Linked DNA regions of Caenorhabditis elegans. The protein of the gene in region 1 interacts with the protein of each later gene in a pairwise test. Each region holds a gene or a part of one and is shown on either strand. Other genes may lie near its edges.

What was found.
Region 2: the proteins of tbx-8 (region 1) and lsy-22 interact in a two-hybrid assay, tested with the Caenorhabditis elegans proteins (one large-scale study listed by BioGRID).
Region 3: the proteins of tbx-8 (region 1) and mls-2 interact in a two-hybrid assay, tested with the Caenorhabditis elegans proteins (one large-scale study listed by BioGRID).
Region 4: the proteins of tbx-8 (region 1) and nhr-22 interact in a two-hybrid assay, tested with the Caenorhabditis elegans proteins (one large-scale study listed by BioGRID).

Annotation. Positions count from the first base shown.
Region 1 is NC_003281.10:10,345,961-10,350,244, reverse strand, and holds tbx-8 (T-box transcription factor tbx-8), read right to left. Parts: upstream 2,671-4,284; 5' UTR 2,662-2,670; coding exon 2,366-2,661; intron 1,984-2,365; coding exon 1,908-1,983; intron 1,853-1,907; coding exon 1,700-1,852; intron 1,067-1,699; coding exon 644-1,066; 3' UTR 505-643; downstream 1-504. UniProt on the Caenorhabditis elegans protein: Transcription factor. Involved in the control of early morphogenesis of the intestine, hypodermis and body-wall muscle. Involved in regulating expression of vab-7. Appears to have partially redundant function to tbx-9.
Region 2 is NC_003279.8:7,704,039-7,708,676, forward strand, and holds lsy-22 (STI1 domain-containing protein), read right to left. Parts: upstream 3,012-4,638; 5' UTR 2,987-3,011; coding exon of another isoform or gene 2,924-2,986; 5' UTR 2,810-2,923; intron 2,584-2,809; 5' UTR 2,556-2,583; coding exon 1,929-2,555; intron 1,429-1,928; coding exon 1,174-1,428; 3' UTR 528-1,173; downstream 1-527. Other genes in the region: etfa-1 (putative electron transfer flavoprotein subunit alpha, mitochondrial), read left to right, coding at 1-141, 191-301, 348-416; F27D4.12 (Photosystem II protein I), read right to left, coding at 2,924-2,986.
Region 3 is NC_003284.9:4,758,293-4,763,458, reverse strand, and holds mls-2 (Homeobox protein mls-2), read left to right. Parts: upstream 1-1,818; 5' UTR 1,819-1,846; coding exon 1,847-2,034; intron 2,035-2,090; coding exon 2,091-2,326; intron 2,327-2,564; exon of another isoform or gene 2,565-2,763; intron 2,764-3,639; coding exon 3,640-3,762; intron 3,763-3,815; coding exon 3,816-3,904; intron 3,905-3,950; coding exon 3,951-4,177; intron 4,178-4,223; coding exon 4,224-4,386; 3' UTR 4,387-4,655; downstream 4,656-5,166. UniProt on the Caenorhabditis elegans protein: Transcription factor that binds to the promoter of target genes. Regulates fate specification and/or differentiation of multiple cell types arising from the embryonic mesodermal (M) lineage and the ABp(l/r)paa precursors.
Region 4 is NC_003280.10:6,445,642-6,451,587, forward strand, and holds nhr-22 (Nuclear hormone receptor family member nhr-22), read right to left. Parts: upstream 4,152-5,946; 5' UTR 4,148-4,151; coding exon 3,803-4,147; intron 2,925-3,802; coding exon 2,762-2,924; intron 2,674-2,761; coding exon 2,542-2,673; intron 2,106-2,541; coding exon 1,708-2,105; intron 1,660-1,707; coding exon 1,463-1,659; intron 1,416-1,462; coding exon 1,284-1,415; intron 1,236-1,283; coding exon 1,120-1,235; intron 1,074-1,119; coding exon 922-1,073; intron 876-921; coding exon 781-875; intron 730-780; coding exon 720-729; 3' UTR 554-719; downstream 1-553. Other genes in the region: K06A1.2 (uncharacterized protein), read left to right, coding at 1-52, 105-180, 225-289, 334-493; atg-16.2 (Autophagic-related protein 16.2), read right to left, coding at 5,522-5,612. UniProt on the Caenorhabditis elegans protein: Orphan nuclear receptor.

The DNA.
Region 1 (4,284 bases):
TTTTCGCAATTTCAAAATTGAAAGAACTATAGTTTTTCACAAGAAAGTCTAGGCCATAACGGAGAAAATTGAAGGAACGGAAAGAAGAAAAACAGTTCAAAAAAGAAATTGCGTGGCCTAGAACGTGTGAAACCTCGGCCCCGCATTTAGTCTTGGTGGCAGAAAGAACCAATTGAAGAAACTCCGCCACCGTTTTTTTTCGGCCACGTGGCAAGTTATGCTCTATGGTGGAAAAAATTTAAACTGTAAAAACCATAAAAGTTTCTTAAAACATTGCCATGAAAAATTGAAGTCTCGTGGCCGCGAAAAATACAAATTCGGCCATGGTGTTTTTTGGAAATTTTTTAAAGGAAAAATTGCTCAATTTTAAAGGCCGCAAAAAAACTGGTTTTTAAAGTTAAAGTTATTTTTTCAAAAAATTGGCATGGGCAATAGAAGACCTATTTTTTGTGAATGCCCGCAGAAGAGCATTTTTGCCTGCCTGCCTACTTGTCTGGAAGATAATTACACCGTATAAAATTTATTTGATTATGTCCAAATTCAGAAACAAAAAATCTTCTATGCAGAAAAAATTAACAGAAAAAGTGATCATGTGACCCGAACTAAAGTATAACAATTTAAAATTAATAATTAAATTTTGCAATTAAACTACATTGATTTCCTGCTCAATATCCTCTTGCTCTTCTTTCTTGACATTTTTCAAAGATGGCGGAGGTGTTGGAAATGACATTGGGGAGAAGCATGGAAGTCCAAATGGGAATTGGAATGGTACAGGCGGGAAGTTCCCGGTGGCTGCCAAATGGGAAAAGTAGGGGAGACTGTAGAAAAGGGGATTGATGGCTGGTGGTGGTGGAATCATTGTTGGAAGGATCCGTGGCATCAATGGAGGTGATACTGACACGGTTCGTGACTTTTTTGGCTGAGGAGAAGAGACTTGAGATGAGCTTTCATCTGTTGTAGAGTCGTCGGCGGATGGAGAATTTCGTTTTCTGTCTGATTGGCTTCCCTCTCGGAATCCTTTGGCAAATGGGTTGAACTTGATTTTCAGCTTGATTACTGCGTCGTTCTGGAAGTTTTTGAATTTAAGAGTTACATTTTGATTGAGCCATGGAAAAAAGACAACTTTCTGAGATGCCTCGCTGTTTTCAAGAAAATAAAAAATTGTAGATTAAATAATGCAGTTAATTATTTGCTGTTGGTCTTTAAAACCGCCTGAGACAGTTGCAACAATCGGAAAAACGGTAAAAAACTGCCGGCAAACTATCAAAACTTTTTTCAAGCTATTTTCAGCTTTCAGACAATTTTTGAGTGTTTTTTCAATATTTTCAATTAAGAGAAAAGTTATTTCAGATTTGAAAAGTATACATCATTTTATAGGTCAAAAATTTCATGATAGCTCTCTTACGGTTTTTGAGGAAATCTTAATAAATCAAGAATGAGACTAAAAATTTATATTAATATATTTACCCATTTTACTTTAATTTCTAATAAAAAATTGCAACAATTATTTAAATATCCTTTTCTTCTATTTGTTTTGTGTCAAACCCTTTCACTTCACAGAAAACCCAAAACAATACCCCTCAAACAATTAGTGTTCGCACCCTTCAGAAGATGTGGCTCATAGAGAGCCACACGTGTTAATGCAAGTGTTAATGCGGGCTCAATAGGCAAAGTTATCTAGATCCCAAACAAGTGTTACCTGGTACGCTGTAACTGCAATAAATTCGGTATAAGTGAGTCGAACAGAAGTGACAAGACGGGTCGATGGTTGTGGGACGCTGAATGGGCTCTCCGATGGGGACTCGTAGATTGACATTACTGGTGTGTATTTGTGCATGCTGTGAAGGAAAATCTGGAAGAAATTGGGAAATGCTGAGGTTGAAGGAGAAAAGAATTATGGCTGTTACCATTGATGCATTTGTAGATTCAGCGCAATTTGTGATTTTTACACGATCGAAGCAAACTGGGTTGGTCATCCATTCTCTGGAAAAAAGTTACTATAGGGAGATATACAGAAAATCAGATAATTTATTTGAAAAGGATTTGATATTTGATATTTAAACCGCCCGTAGTTTTATAACAGTTTGAAGTTAACATGCTCAAGTTGGCGATGTGTTACATTTTTAAGTAGTTATAACTTGCTTGAAACAGTCATTACAAAAAAGTTGTCAATTGGAAAACTGTAGAAAATTTTATAATAAACATTTCATCAGTAAGCAACTATTGTATTTTTATTTTCCTTTGAGATATTACAGTTCTAAATTGAAATTATTTTCTGATTCCCTGCTGAAAAATAGGTACTCCAACCCTGACTGCGCTATCTAATAAAAGATCAACTAACAAAGCATTCCAAAAAAAAACTCACTTTCCACTTCTAACTCCATCCGCATGCCACAACTTCTTTGGCTCCCTGTGCTTTTCGGCTTTTCCCGACTTGACCCATTCTCCACTGCTGAACTTGTACCGATGATCGTCGGATGGCTCAATATGAAGCATCATAGCGTAGAGCTTGTTCGGCGTGAGACCTCTGACCACATACTCAAGCTTCGGGAACATTTTCCTGCCGGATTTTGTGACAATCATCTCGTTTTTATGATAATGGAAGAGGTTCCACAGCTTATCCTGATCTTCTCGAAGTGTCACATACACTTGATCTGTCATGGTTTTTCTCTGGAATTTCATATTATAATAAGGATTCAATCAAAACGGGCAAAAACTGAAATATTGGTAAATTGGAAAATTCGCGTAAAAGTGAATACTAAACAGATTGGTGGCTGAGAGTGAGCCTGGGGTCTCACCTGGATGCCACGGCCCCACTCCTGCCTTCCCGAAGGCGGACCGCGGGGTACGGTAGCGATAACACTGGTAGGCGTGGTTTTTCGATGTTTGGCGGGATGCTAAAAAGGGGAATTGTGTGAAGGAATAAGTTTCAAAGGTGAAAATAGACAAAATTAAAAGTTTGAACAGCTGTAACTTCCCAAAAATCAATAATACGAGGGAATTTTCAATTGACATTTTGCTCGACTATTTGTCAGTTGACAACTTTTTGATAAACCAAATATTTTTTGAGATATGTGGGATACTTCTCAACCTACTTTATCCCAACTTTCTCTCTACATACTTTCATTTCTGTTAGAAACACTTTTTGACAAATTTTTTGGTTGAAACTTCTTTGTCGTTTGAAGAATTATTATTAAGGAGTTCTAAAAAATGTTCATGATACTCCAATCAAAAATGTAATCCAAAAACCTCATAACTTCCCCAGTTTCTAGAAAATCGTCATCGAATGCTCCAAATGCTCCAAGTTTGTGATTATTATTTTATTGGTTCAACGATTTAAATATTGTGCAGTCCCTCTTCATCTTTCTCCAAATACTTGCTAGAAATGAATCTCCGGGGGGATATTTTAGGAAACCTGTTCACCTCTCTTTATCGTTTTCCAATCTTTCTACCAAACAATAATAACACGCTTGATTTGTATATAGAGTTCATAAAATTTGTTTAACGACGATTTTACGACGATATTCGATGCCCCCACCACCATCACCACTACGGTAATATTGATAAACGGGAAGAAGGACACGGGCAGGATGATAAATCATTGAGGTTAATTCTCACTTTTACTACGGATATACTGGACGTGACAAATTTTGATTAATCTTGTTAGTGTTCGATGCACCATGTGCAACTGATATCTCGGTTCTTGACTGAAAAAAACATTTGTAGATTGATTTTCTGTAGTTTGTAGTTTGTAGCTCGGTTGCCAGATTTCCCGAAAGTTCCAGGTTCATCTAAAGTGGTTTTACAATTTGCCATTGTTTACAACTATCTCTAAAAACAAGATATCTAATCTCCAGATAATTATTGATTTTCCCTTCAAAAACAAATTATCTGTTAATGCATGCACCATGTTCTCAATCAGGATCATTTTCCTGAATTTTGTGCTCCGACAGTATTGCGGTGAGCCGGCGGCTCCAAATTACATCATCACCAACCAGAGAGTTGTAAAGGGATCCGTCTGGCGCACTGTTGGGTGGAGGAGAAAGAGCGGTACGCGTTTTATGTTGTTAGGTAACTAGAATTGACAGGTGATCATTAGGTTATGGATAGGGAAGGACATTTTATGTACTTGACATGTTATAGTTTTTGGGAACTTTGGAGGGAGTTTTGGGTCAACATTTTAATAGCTTAAATTGCAAAAATTTAATAGCTTCAGAGATGTTTTACAGGATTTCAAATATGACAGATCATTTGTAAGAATTTTCAGTTTATTAAATGTTAAGT
Region 2 (4,638 bases), on another chromosome or scaffold:
AAGAGTGGAGACAATTTCAAGCTCATCTATGATCTTGCTGATAAGCTCGGAGCCGGAGTCGGAGCATCCCGTGCCGCTGTTGATGCTGGATACGTACCAAATGACATGCAAGTCGGTCAGACTGGAAAGATTGTAGCGCCGGTAAGAAATCCATTAAGTGAGAAGCAAAGAAAAATGAATTAATTTATAGGAACTCTACATTGCAATCGGAATTTCTGGAGCCATTCAACATTTGGCTGGAATGAAGGACTCAAAGGTGATTGTCGCCATCAACAAGGATCCTGATGCACCAATTTTCCAGGTAAAAATTGAATTTAACACAAAATTGTTAATTCTAAATAATTCAGGTCGCTGATATTGGATTGAAAGCCGATTTGTTCAAGGCCGTCCCAGAACTGACTGCTGCTCTTCCATGAATACCTTCAAATAGCCTAATGTAGATGTGTCTTCTAAATTATTGTATTCTATTTAGTAACTCGGTTTATCGGGATATTGTGATTTTCGTTTTTATGCTTTCAATGTGAATAAACAGCCAAATCTGTTTTATGAGCGTTATCACGCGATTCATAAAGAACAATTGAGAAGAGCAACACTGGAGAAAACCGAAATGAGAATTTTGTATCAAATATCATATTCACAAGAAGCACGGAAACAACGAGAAAATGCGAGACAAGTGAGGTGACGAATTGATAGATAAATACTGGAAAATTTGAAACATTCCTGGTGATGGTTTTGTGATTGGGAAATTACTCTTCTATTAATCAAAACGAGATACCCGCTGCGGGATGCAAAAAAAAGCGAATGGGGAGGATTGGGGGGAACAAGAAACTGAAAGATTTCTCAAATTTTTGAAGAATAAAAATGATGAAACTGATGGGCTGGAATAACAAAGAGATCGACAAAAAAGTCCGACGCAGCAGAGAACATTATGAGAATTTCATTTTAAAATGGACGGCGATTGAAAAAAAAAGAAACAACGAATATTTAAAACGGAAAGTTGGACCTGTATTAGAATGCGAAAAGGCCAAACATAAAAACAATATTTTTCAAAAAAGAAAAAATGGATCCAGAGGTCAGCCGCCACCGAAAAAGGAGGATTTTGAGAGGATGAGAGATTACACTATATATCGATAGATATCACAATCGATAATACTAAAATATGTCGGTACAGGATCAAGCAACCGCCACTGTCGAATTTTCTTCTTGTTTGATTGTTGCAGTAGCAGTAGTTGCGGCCACAGCAGCAGCTACATCATGTTCCATTGTCTGTGGTTCTTCTTCTTTAATCGTTGGTTCTGTGGTGGGTCGAGGTGAATTCGTGGCTGATGTGGTTAATGGAGTTCGTGTTCGAGAAGCGGCTCCAGATGTTGATGGATTCCTTGATGGTGTAGAAACTGCTACCGATGCAGCGGCGGCCATTTGCTGAAACTGGAAGATTATGAAAATATGTTGTACAGAAATGGATAGAAAATTGAGATATCGAGGTTTTTGGAATATCTTCTGAAGGAGCTAAAAAATATTAATTTCTTCTATCTTTTCTAGTAATAGTAAGTTTTCTAGTAATATCAAACTGCTCTAAAAAGTACATTTAAAACATCCTTTGTATTTCTACATTAATTTTCTTGAATTTCACTTTTACTGTCGTAATTTCACTAGATTTCAAATTAAAGGCTCACGGATATTTTATGATGGGATCGGTGCGCAAAACGTTTATGGTAGTTTTTTTTGTTGAAATTTATACTTCAAACATAGACGTTTTTTAGCAGAAAAATTCGCTAAAAAGGCAAGGAAGATGCCGTAAAAATTCAAAAAAAAAACTATCATAGATTTTTCCCCGCCGACCCCATCTGGATAAATCCGTGCCCCTAAGAGAAAATTACGATAAACATAATTTAATCTCAACATTTTGAATAATAGTTAACACTTACCGCATTAAAATGTTGCATTGCAGCTGCCATATTATTCGGTGGCATCATTCCAGGCAATCCAGCCATTCCCGGTGGCATTCCAGGAACCATCCCTGGCATCATCATCGGCATCTGCTGAAACATTTGAGCTTGCATCATTTGTGCCTGGAATGCTTGCATTTGCATGTGCTGCATCATCGACATCCCATTCATTCCACCGTTTTGTGGAGCTCCACCTTTTCCAGAAACACGTGGTGATGCTCCACCCATTGCATTCAGCATTGGATTCCTCATCATCATATGTGGTTGCATTGCAGCAACTGCATTCATCATTGGAGGTGTCATCACTGGCATTTGAGGTGTTCCGTTCTTGGAAATTGATTCAAATTCCGCTAATAATTGTGATTGTTGCGATGGATCAGTAATTAATGCAAGAAACGTCCTTGCAAGATTATCTAATTTCTTCGATGTATCATGAGCTTTCTGGAGGTCCTGCTGTACTGAATCGTTCATTTGTTGTTGCATTTGTAGTTGCATTGATGATAAATCCTGTTTTGATCGTTCAAGTTCTGATTTATTCGAGTTGAATTGGCTCGATAGACTTGTCATTTCTTTTTTGATTGCATCAATATGATCTGCTAGTGACATTCCGCTGGCTGATCCACTTCGTTTCCTACTAAAATATAAATTAAATACTGTTCATATTCACCAATTTCTAGTTTTCGAATTTCTAGTTTTCTAAAAGAAATTAAACGCTGTTTTTGAATTTATTTTGATACTTTCAAAATGAAAAATATGCCTCTAGTGAACCTTTCATATTTTTAATTTTCTCAACTTTTAGAATACCATTTTCAACTATTTGTCAACAAATCTTTTACTTTTAAAATATAATAAAAACCTACTTTTCCCTTGAACTACTCGAGCTAGGATGCGAGAAGTTCGGATTCGCGAATCTTCGTTGGTCCGACGTGATTGTAGACGGGGGTTGATCGACAGGCGATCAAAAATTCCAAATTTTAAAAATTCGAAAACGATACAATTCCAGAGTCTTTCTTGTTTGTCGCGAAGAAAAACAACAATTTGAATCCGTCACGGAGCAATGAGCTGCAAAAAAGTAGAAATAAAACAAAGTTTGAATTGATGGTTGTGATGGCACACACACACCAACGGCGGGGCCCATTTTATTTCTTCAACGACGATTTTTATTTTTATTATGAGAAAAGCGATAAAACAACGGAAAAGATAAAAAAGTTCTTTGAGAAGACGAGCGGACAGGGGGAGGAGGTCTTGTTTACACGGTCTTTTAAATTGTGAACTTTTGCGTCAATGTGTTTGCGCCGGCGCCATGTTCTACGCCAAAACCAATTACCGCCGGGAAAGTGAGAAGGAGACGAAGGAAGGAAAGGACATTTTAAGAATTTGGAGACTTCCGAAATTACTAATTTCAAAAAATCTGTAATAACAATAATTTCAAAGGAGTTTGCACAAAAATATGCTGCCTGGTCTCGACACGACAGTTTATTGTAATATGCGAAAAGGTGTGTGCCTTTAATGAGTACTGTAATTTCAAATGTGTGTTTTTGCAGAATTTTATCGATTTTTTACATTTAATTTTACGATCAAAATTTCGCAGCAAAGTGTTTGAAGTCGAGACTGTTAACCGTTTTTTTAGATTAAAAAATCTCAAAATTTCGCGTCTGGGTGATACAGATGTGATGATTTTTGAAATTGAAATTGAATGAAAAACTAGTCGAATTTCAAATATTAAAAAATAGCTCAAACTTGTTTATTTTTAAAAGCCAAGTGAAAAATTCAAAAACTTTCTATCTATAAGTTGCAAATTGTGCATCCCCATCTTCCAAGGGTAATAAATAAGCCAGTCTAATCGGCGCAGAGGAGTGTTGTAAAAGAGAATGCCAACTGATAAGTAGTGATAATGAAGAACATATTGGGTGTCAAAACTTTTCCTCTCACTTTTTTATTCGTTTGAAAACGGCGGAACTTATTTTCTGATTAAAAAACAGAGTGCACTCTGGCACGTTATGGATCCCAGAGCCTAGACCCCGGAAAAAAGAAACGCCATAAAAATTGGTGGTAGGCGGCTCTCTGGCTCACAAATCTCTCAAAGTTTAATACCGAACATGAATAAAAATTTAAAAGCGCCTGAACCAGGGGGTTACAAATCGTGCGAAAATTTCGTTGATATTAATTTGCTGAAGTATTTGGAAACATTGAAAAGTCAGAAAGTCGAGCTTATTCAATACCACAAGACTTTTCTAATACTGAAGATGAATATAAATTTGTGTAGTGTTGTGCAAGAATGAGTCTTTTGTATTCGATTAAAAACGATGGGTTTTTGTCTTCTTATGTGCGCACGACCACAAGGAGAGAAAGAAGACGGCTCTTCTGCATCCACCACCAAATGCTCATTTTATTCGACTCGAAATGACTGGTGAGCTTTTGATGGATGGAGGACTCGGGGGCCTCCACACAAAAAAATGCGGGAAGAAGAATTGAGAGAAGTAGAGGAAGAAAGAGGAACGAAAAGATGGATTACAATCACATTTATATTCTTCTAGACCTAGAGAATGCCTGGTTGTTTCTTCAATTTTGACACCACAGGTGCGGCTAATTGCCTTTGAAGCTTCGAGCTCAGAAGAAGCTGAGACTTCAAAAGATATATGTGATGGATGGAAAGGGAGGAGCGAAATATCACGTAATCGAGTCTTGT
Region 3 (5,166 bases), on another chromosome or scaffold:
TTTCCTTAGATGTGAGCAACAGACACCAACATTTCACACCTTCTACAGTGTTGCACATTGGCTTGAGAACGTTGTGAGTCGTCGTATTAAATCCATTTTGTGATGTTTTACATAACAAAACCTCTAAGAGAATAATGGGAAATAATGTGGAAAATATCAATTCCATTTTCTCATTCTCATCCTCATCTTTCATTTCATTTCTGCTCATTTTCAGCTCATTTCTATGAACGCCACTACTATCAGCCATTACGTGTGTGCATGTTTTTCCTCGACCATATTATTCTGTACAAATACGTCGTCGCCTTATTTTACTATTACCGGTTTTAATGAGATTGTGTTGAATTATTTTCTCCCCCCTCCCTATTTGAAACCAAACGAGCGCGCACACAAACACATGAGAGCGGGCGGGTAAGCGTCTTGGGTCCCAATTACCGTATATCATGGAAGTGGGTGGAGCTGTGGACGTTCATTCAATACGGCTGTGCTCACCTCAACTCGTTTTATTTTGCGTTTGATCAAAACTAAAACTTGATTTTTTTTTCAAATGTTCGTCATTGGACTCTCAAGGGTTAATCAGGAAAAAAAACACATTTCGTGATTACTTGTTTGCTTCGAACTTTTTTTCAAGCTTCATAAGACTTCATGTGATAGTTTCCGATTCACTTCCATCGACTCTTGATTCATCTCTTTTCCCTCAGTTTTGCATGGGTTCTCTAAGGTATCAGAAATCTCGTCTAAAATTTTCATTTGTAAATTAAACCCCCATTCTGAAAATTAACAGTAATACGAGTGTTCTTTTTTCAGCCAAAAATGATTTTTTTGGAAAGTATGGAAAAAAGTAGTTTAAAAGATGTCATCACAATATTGGCAGTACTCTTTTCAACTTCCTGTACATCAAAATATCAAACCATTTACCGTATTTTCCCTATTAGGATTTCAACCCAGTTTCCATCTTTACCAGCTTAACACGAACAAAGTACTTGTCAATTTTTTTTAGCGGTTTGTAGTTTCTTATCTTTGATACTGAACACAGATATAACGTTTCAAATAGTGTGGTACAGTACTATTCAAGGAGTTACGGTATTCGAACACATTTCAAGTGAACAATGATCCTGAGTGTTTTGCTCATCGAGCCTATATTAGATATCTCTCCTGTTTCCATCATTCCTCATTATTACCTTTTGCACTCCGAATTCGACACTAACCGCGGATAAGCTGCTGCTTGACCCGTGCGTTCGCATAGCAACAACGATCCACTAACATCTCGAATTTCATATTTAAATTAATAATGTTTTGCTTAAAGCATAACTGATTAGCTTTTTGGCATTCTCGTTGGAATATACATTGAACCTACATTACAAAATCAATTGATCATCAATTTTGAAACAATTGATAGAGTCGCTCAGCGGAAAAAAAACGGTTAATTGTTGTGATTAATGGTGTTAACCAAACATAGTAATCCACTTAAACGAATTAGACATTAAGTTGGACAGGGCGTATTGCCTAGAAACATCTCTGTTTTGCTTGATCACTTAACACATTAGCGGAAAAGCAAGCAGGGAGTTCTTCGAGATCCTCAGATTCTGCTAAACTTCTCTCAACTGTATTCATAGTCGTTTTCCTATTGGTCAACCATTGTTTATATAGTTTTGATATCCGTTTTCTTAACACTACCAAAGACAATAATTTGACTTGGTCATCATTTCATTATTACTCCTCTCCTTCCCATTTCCTACACCCCATTTATCCGCGAACGCTCGCCCAGCTACCGTAGTCTTGAATGGTGGGGCGGGGCTACTCATTAGTATTCTCGATTAGCCCTCAGTTGACTCTATTTTTCTCAAACATGCCGACTTCAGTTATGAATCTCCCTATTGATATGACGACAATGAGCTCGCAAGAACGTCTCGAAAAAATGTCACAACTTCCAAAGATTGAACTGATGGAGGAAGAAGAGGAAGAAGAGATGAAGCCAAGTTCAGATAATAAGATTAAATTCAATATTTCTGAGTTGCTGGAAGATGACAGAAAACCGTAAGTTGAACATTTTCATTTATTTTCCTTTTATTTGTATAAAATTAAACTTTCAGAACTACACAAAGTTCCCCGTCGGCATCTTCAGAGGATAGCACCAATGAAATTGAGCAAACGGCGTTTAATTTCAATTTTGATCCAAAAATGAATCCGATTTCTGCCCTCCTGCAACTTCAGCAAACTTTCTTGAACGTCGGCAATCAACAAAACATGATCTCACCACTTACCATGTTCCCATTCTTTGGACTTCCGACTGCTCAACTAATGCACTTCAAAAACATGAGCAACCCAGGTCAGTAGATATTACCCAACTTCCTCTCTCCTTAGTCTGTCATTAGTTAATGTGTGAAAGAATCCTACCATATTTCATTTCATTCAAAACAGTGTTCCGTTTACCACTATAATTTTCGGTCGGTTCTCTTTATTCTCCGAATCTCAGAACACCCCTTAATACAGTAACTAATTCATTTTCTGACCCATTGTTATTGTATGGTCTCGAATTAGCCAAGTCTGGACTCATTAACAAGTTGAACAACGGTATTGGATGAACATATGGAAAAAGGAGGGGGGAGGTTGTCGGCGGATGCAGTTCCTTTCTTAGGATAAGAATCAGAATCGCTCGCCTGTGTTGAACTCAACTAATTATCTTTTGTTGGGTAACACCACACGCGGTATTCATTGATTCTTGAAAGGATGTGCTCAAACAGCAATAAGTTAATAACGTGAGAATACTAAACCCCATGAGCTCGGTGACGCGTGTCAGGTCCTTGACTTTTATTTTGATTCTAAAAATAAATACATTCAATTAAAAATTATAGAGAAACAACTTTTTTTTTCAGATTCAAAGTTTTTAATAATGAAATGTGGCCTGTAGGGAATTACCAAATGTCATACTAAAACATTTCAAAAATGTTTTAAATAAAATTTATTTTTAGTCAAAGAACATTGAAAACTCATAGTCCGCTTTTACCTAATTTTTGGCTCAAAATTTTTTTAAAAACAGTTTTATTTTGATATTAAGCCATTTTAACATTACAAAAATGCTGATTAATTATTTCCCCTCACAGGTCCAACTTTAAGCCATTAAGTTTTCCGCTCAGTTGATTTGGCAAAGCAAATCAGCGTATTGTAAAATAACATCATCACGCTGTTTTATTACGCTGACTCTGTTGATACATGTGGTTTTGCCACTGATTTGTTTTTGATAACATGTGAAATGATCAAAACAGCAATAGAAATCTCTTATTCTAATGAGCCTTTTCCATTTCGCATGAAAAATCAGGCATACGCATGAGCGCACATTTTTAGTCGTCAATATTCGTAACGTAAGCGGCTACACTTCGGTTTTTAAGAGATTCTAATTAGTCAACGAAGAATCAGTATTGAAAACTAAAGGTAGTTCTTAATATAGAGACATCTATTTATAAAGGTGTCATTTTGACCGACACCCGTGTCCTAGTAATCCCCCGTCCATTGAGATAATTAACCGATGGACCACGGGGGGATGTGTTATAATTGTGGCCTGTCAATGGAAGTATCTTAATGCAATATGGTTAATATGCCTGTCAGGAATTAAGTAATTGTTGAAAATGTGTTTCCTTACAGATGTTAATATTCAATCAGACAATGGAGAAGAGAAGGATGAAAAATCGGAGGGAAAAGATGGGGAGACCAGGGATTCCACTGGTGGCAGCCCGCTGGAGTCTGACGCAGAAGATGACGATGATAGTGAGTTGAATTTAAAAATGTGTCCACAAAAGTGTCCATAAACTGTATTTCAGTTGGCCGTGGAAGCGATGATGAAGCCAACTCTAGCGATCCATCACAAAATAGAAAGAAGAAAACCAGAACCGTCTTCAGCAGGAGTCAGGTATCAGAAATTGTACATTCCGAACTCAAATAATACTTTCATTCAGGTGTCCCAATTGGAAATGATGTTCGAATGCAAAAGATATTTGAGCAGTCAAGAGAGATCAAATTTAGCACAGAAGCTGCACTTGACGGAGACCCAAGTGAAAATTTGGTTCCAAAATCGACGAAACAAGTTCAAGAGACAAGCTCAGACTGATGACACGAACATTTCCCTGCAGATGCATAGAGCTAATGTGTTTTCGATTCCAGCAACCACAGCTCTTACATCTCCGTGAGTTTACTGTTTCATGAAATTAATTCTAAATTTTATATTTCAGAATCCTTACGATCCCAACGACCAGTGCTGGTGTGAACATGAGAAATATGATTTCATCTCCAATGGATGCTTCTGCAACTGCCGCCGCGCGGTTTCTTTTCGGTTTTGGTACACTTCAGGCACAGCAAAACTTGAATGCGTCGGCTCAAGCGCAGAACATGTGAACACCTTATTACTAATTTAGACTCACCCCCTGTGCAATTCAACTCAACCTCAACACATTTTTCATCTCATCACTGACTCTATCTCTTCACACTTGATTTTTGATTCATCGCCCTTCGTATATATTTTATTTTTCATACCCTATATGTTTATTATGTGTCATTCTGTGTATTTTATAAACTATCTTCGAGCACATGATAATTCAGTTCATCAATCCTTTCTCTTTCACTAAATAATTATTTATTGAGTAATAAATTTACATTATGAATACATACAATACAAAAATGATAGAAACTTTTTGATGTGTAAAAGACCATTTTCCAACAGATTATGATGGTAGCAAAGCTACTCTTTTCACATACATACATATACTAATATTTAAGATGAAATTTCAAAACAAATGTTCAAATTCCATCAACTGCAGAAATATCAGAAAACTTTTATTCTGCTTGAAGAACGAAAACTTACAAAATTTCCAAAAATTTGAATTGTATTACTTGGATATAAAATAATAGTTTGTCTCCTTTGTATGTAGTATCTGTTTTTTTAAAGAGTTTTTGTTGTGTTTTGAAAGGTTAATGGTTAAAATTAGTAGAATGAATTAGGGTAGTGTAGTGTAGGTGTTCAGTAGGCAACTTTGAAAAAAGTAAGTTGTTATGCTTTGAAATAATATTGGAGAGTCAAAAGTATTAGAAATCTCTGTCTTAAACAGTACAAAAACGCTCGAGAAATTTTTGAAGAACTGTTTTGAAGAACTCCAAAAAAAATTTCTAGAAATTTCA
Region 4 (5,946 bases), on another chromosome or scaffold:
TGTCTATATTGAATGTGAAGAACAATAGGAACAATGATTGGTTGGCGTTGAGGTCTGCAGCGAAAATTATTCTGGTTATTTTAAATACAGTTCATTTTTTGTAGAGCTCTGTTGTCAACCACTGGCTTCTACAAGTTGTATCCATCGAAGTTTTTGATTCCTCCCGGCAAAGAAATTTCGGTGAAAACTACATCTAGAGCTACCAAAAACAGTCGAAATTTCAGATAGAAGTCGAGCAATGTACTAGAGCTGAATCTCCAACGTTGAATCACAATATTCTTATTGAATGGTGAATTCATAGTTCTCAATAATCTCTAATCCATTCTATTTCAGGTTTCCTCTTGACTCGACTCCACCAACGGGTGACTTGCAACGTCTTTGGAGCAAACCATATTTGGTTCCACAATCGCATTGGCAATATTTCGTTCTTCCGGTTTATGTGGATGATTCGGTGACTTCTTATAGCCCTAGTCATGTGTCAAGTGTTGAATAAATTTTTTAATTATTAAATGTATATCAATACAACTGAAATGAGTTCAATTTTACACATGTTTTGAAAGATCTGAATTGAGAGTTTGAACGAATATGGCAAAAAAAGAAAATCACAGAATATAAACAAAATGTCACAATTTTAAATACAAAAGCTACGCGATAAAGCTATGTAAGTTAATAGTCGTTAAAAGTCAGATGAATGAAGTAGAACCTTCACGATGGTTGTTTCAGTCGTCTCTGAAATAATTTGATAACATTTAAACTTTGAAATTATTAGAATTTTGTTACCTGAAAGATAGTAAGTCGTACATTATACTATCACAGGATACAACATCAAAGAAAGTCATTACAAGGTAAGAGTTTGTCATTGCTTGTACTTGCTCCTGAAACTCATTTAATTTTTCATAACAAATTGATGATGGAACCAACCGTTATATAGCTCATGCTCAGAAGAAGCTGACCAACTCGAATAGCTGGATCCTCATCACCTCGTTCTTCAACTACTTTATGCAAGGCTTGAACTATTGTGTCTCGTTGCCGTGCACAAATTGCTCGTCCCTCCTCTAGTAACCGATAGTTACCTGAAACGAGAATTTTAAAACTTTACTGTAGATATTATTTACTTACTGATTTGCCAAATTATGAGAGCTTTCAGAAGTACGTATTCTTCAAATGAGACTTCTAGTCGAGCGAACGGAATTGCCAGATCGAAATATTGTTTTAGCTTCAGTGGCATTAGGGTTCTGCAAGATAACAATTTACTGAGATTTAAAAAAGTTTAGCAAACTCACTTGTACTTTTCATGTTCTTGCGGGGTTTGAAACTCTGTTCCCGCGCCTGGCTCATCTCCACTTATTGGAATCGGATTCATATTGATATAGTCACCATTGAAAAGTATTAGACGTTCTTTTTCTATTCCAACTCTGTAGAAAAACTGACTGAATCTAATTTTTGAACATTAAATACTCACTTATAGCTATAATAGGCAGATGCAAGCATTGAATCTACGGCGCAAGCCATTCGATAGACCACATTTTTGTCATTTTTGTGTAAAGCTTGAAACTCCGGAAATTGATTCACGTAATCAAGAATCATAACAAAGTCGTGCTTTACAAATCCGCAAAATGATTTATAGTTGAAAGGTTTCAGCTGATGATTTTCGTAGGGCTGAAAGAGAATATTGTGAGAAATGGATATGGTGCATTGAAAACTCACACATTCACAAGTTGTATCGAAAACATCTCTTATCTGAGTATCCGTGTACATTATTTTCCTTCGATCATTCAATGAAGCTTCTGTTCTTACATAATGATCAACTAATTCGAAAATTTTATTTTCAACTTCAACGACTGGGTAGAACTGTACATGTTGAATAAATCCTGCATGGCTGGTGCTTGCCTGGTGTATATCGAATGGAGGAGAATTGGAAAGCACACGTTGACAGTGCATACGGTCACCAGTTGCTGGAGTAAGAAGTATGGATGGAGTTGAACGGTGCAGTGGTGGAGGTGTTACTGTCATATCAAGTGGTTGAGAAGATGAAGGATCCGGTGAAAGGTATGACTCAGGAATCGTCATTTCATTAATCCCTGATTCCATTTTCGGGCTCGAATCTGAAACAACAAATGGTATTATTAAAGTATCGTCAGTCGGGATAGATACACTTATAATACTCTAACATAACCGAATCTCATAAAAACTTTCCAAAAAGATTAAGAGTTTAAAAAACCTCAGTTTTGGTGAATTGCCAAATTTTCAAAAAATTGTAGAAATTGTTACAAGTTGGAACCCTGGAATTTTTCCAATTAAAACAATTAAAACGCTGTAAAAAAAAGGACTTGTAGATAAATATTTTTTTTGGTCAACTTCCAAAAACTGTGATAGATGAAAACTGAGTTTTGCCCACTTTTGACGGTAACTAAAAAATTTAAAAAATTTTTTGAAACGTTAAACTGTTATACTTAGGAATTTTATTACCATAGGAGAGGGTTTAAAAAATTTCCCAGTCGAGGGCTTCAAAAATATTTTCGAAATAAATTAGAAACTAACCTTGAACATTTGTATATGTATTTACATACTCATCATACGAAGATTCAACATCGTCATCTTCCTTTTTCGATACAACCAATCCCTTGGAACGTCGTTTTGCAACTCTCGTCTCTTCTTTTCTCGCTTGCACCACTGCAAAACAACAAATTACTGTTTTTTGTACCTCGGACTTTTTGGCCAATTGAACATGTGACAAATGACCTTGTCAATGATCACTCACGTTCTCTGCGCATTCCGGCATCTAAACATTTGATGAACCGACAGTGACGGCATATCATTCTGAGCTCGTAATGGGTTCTACACGGATTTGTGTCATCTCCAGTGCCAATGCATTCGTAAGTCATTGACATTGAAACACTTCTTCGGAAAAATGCTGCACATGCCTGAAAATATGCTCATTTATTAAATTTATTCCAATTAAATTGTGAGAAACATGTTTCCGGAGGTATTAGTGATGCAAATTGTACTTTTCATTTTCTCTTTATTTAAACATAAAGCATGCAAAGTGTGATGTACGTTATCAACAACTTTTTCTATTTGTTCGTGGTTTTCAGTAAGATTATCATACAAAACTTGGTCAAAAGGAGCTAGTTTCTAAACAGGAACTGTACTGTGGTGTGTTCAAACATCCGATCAGATGAAGATCTTCTATTGTCATTCTAGCTACACTTAAGACTACAAAAACAAATAGTGTGAGACACATACCACAAATGGCCACAAAAATAAGTGATGTTTCGTCGAAATACGCAGACGGAAAAAGAAAATACCTGACTACAATACACTTCTAGATAACACAGGATAACAATAAAAACACGTGGCGAGCATGTTACAAATTTTGGCACATTTTCAAAGCATAGTTATATTATTACGCCTTAAAATACTTTAGGACCTTTTTTCACAATTATCACTAATGAAACCAACGGTTTATCGGTGTTTTTAGAACAAAAATTCAAGTCTAGAAATGTTGATTTTACGAGTTTGAATGATAAAAAATATGATAAAAGTTTGAAATTACAGTACTCTTCAAAGACGCACAACGTTTCGAATTTAACAAAAATATGTTGCGCTGAGGCAGGATACCGTGGGCCTGGGTAATAATGTCCGATGCAAATTCAATTGTTATCCAGAAAACAAAAAATGTATATTGTACAACAACAACGAAAGTACAACACTTGTAAAAACAAAAAATGTTCATTTTTTCGGAGTAGTGCTAATTAATAATTGATACGAGAAATATTTTTTTCTTGATCATATTGCTTACCTTACAAGAACGACCTCCAAAATGTAGAGTATTGGCAGTGGGAGATGAACAGACATGACAACTTCGACTGTCAGTTAATGGAGATGGCATTCCACGTGGAGATGTTGAAGCTTTATTTACAATCTCTGGGAGATGATTCGATTCCGGTGGAGGTGATGAAGATCCCTCTTTCCAAATGCAGAAGTCAATATCGAATGATGGTTGGAATCCAAGATCGTAAGATGGAGATGATCCTAACGAATCACCAACGTCCAGAGACTCAGGAGATGGTGGTACGTCTTCAAAAGTATTTTTGAATAAATCGGTAGGTGGATAGAAATATTCATAGAGAAGGTCCGTAGACATATTTGATTAAAGTGAAAATGAATGGAGGTGTGCGGCAATGGTAGAGAGTAAGAAAAAGAGAAGAGAGAGGTTAGAGAGAGAAAGGACCGAACAAGGTTAGTACTGATAAGAACAGAATTGGGGGAAAATGAAGAAGAGAGAAAGGTGGGAAGAGGCTAATTGGAGGAGATGAGAAATTGGCTGGACAAAGGGGAGAAGATATTAATATATGGATTTATTTATTTGTTACGGCAAGAGATAGAAAATTGATTCATTAATTTTAAAGAAATGTGAGTTTTAAATTTGCAATTCACTGAATTAATATTTTCAAATATATGTATGAATAAAAAGTCTGTGGTTTGAAAATAATGCAAAACTATTTTCAATTAAATTTCGCCTATTTATAGTCACTGGAACGGAAACTTCATTCTGTCTAATCGAAAACGTGATGGGAAAATTTCAAATTATCACATTGAACTTATGGTTTTTCAAAAAATTTAAATACTCAAGTTTTGAATATTTCACACAAATATATATAAAAATAATAGAGAGAATAAAGATTTACGTTCGTTATAGAATTAGAGAGAAACGTGCGAGAACAAGAGATCGCCGACAGTGGCAGAGATTGCGGAAAAGGTGGATGTAAGAGAATTAGAGATAAAAGAAAATGTAAGTATATTAATACGAAAGAAAAAACAACTAAGCTGTCTGCGACTCATTGAGAGTACTAATCTTTTGAACCCTGGAAGATATGTAAAATACTGCTTCAGAAAACTGGCCGAATTGTTTTCAGAAATTGACATCTTTTCACAAGTTTATATGAAAATATTTTCCTGGCAATGCAGAATAATCAGAAATCATTAATATTTGAAATATACTTTTTTTAATAAACTTTTTTCAAATTCAGATCGAAAGGAGCAAATTTTTTTCAATGACGAAGAATTAGGACTATTCATCGGCAAAAAATATCATCATGCTGCGGGAACAGAAATTATTAATTTCCTGTATTCTTGTCATCATTTTGAACTGATTTTCATAGGTTAGCATCAGAAACTATAGAAAATTTAAGAAAACTCGAATGTTTCCAAACGACTGTCAGTCAGCCAACCAGGTGAAATGATAAGAAAATGTGCATTTTATGTTCATAGAATACAAGGGATAGGTGGTGATAACACAGAATTTGTAATATTCAGGCATTTTTTGAGGATTACCGGTTTAAATTAAAATGTATAAATATCATACAATTTTTTTCTATTTCAAACGAATGTTCATAATGAAAAATCTGAAAGAAAACATGAAAAACGCGGGTAAAACTATTTTTTTAAAAATGGATATGCACATTTATAACACAGATGATGATTCTGTACAATTATATTCAATTTCATACATTGAAGATCATCTCCAGAGTGTACAAGTCTTCTGACGATCACAAGCTAGAAGACCTCGGCCTGACGGATTCCATGCCAGAGACATTATTTGAGCCGAACTGAAAAAAAAACATTTTTGAGAGCAGAATTGGGGCATTGTACTCTGGAAGCGGATTTAATTTCCCAAGTTTTCGATTTTCATTCAAAATTACGGTATCTCGAAACGATAATTTTTTATTAAATACATATTCATCTTTTAAGAGTACTGTAACTTTAAACGCTTGTTGCTGCCATATTTTTTTACATTTTTTCAAAGTTTTTATTTAAGTGTAGTTTTATCGAAAGATTTAGAAATTAAAATTCCGCAGTACTCTTTAAAGGCGCACGCCTTTTCGCAATTAACTGAAATATATCGTGTCGAGGGCAGGTGCTGTACCTTTGGAACTAAAATCG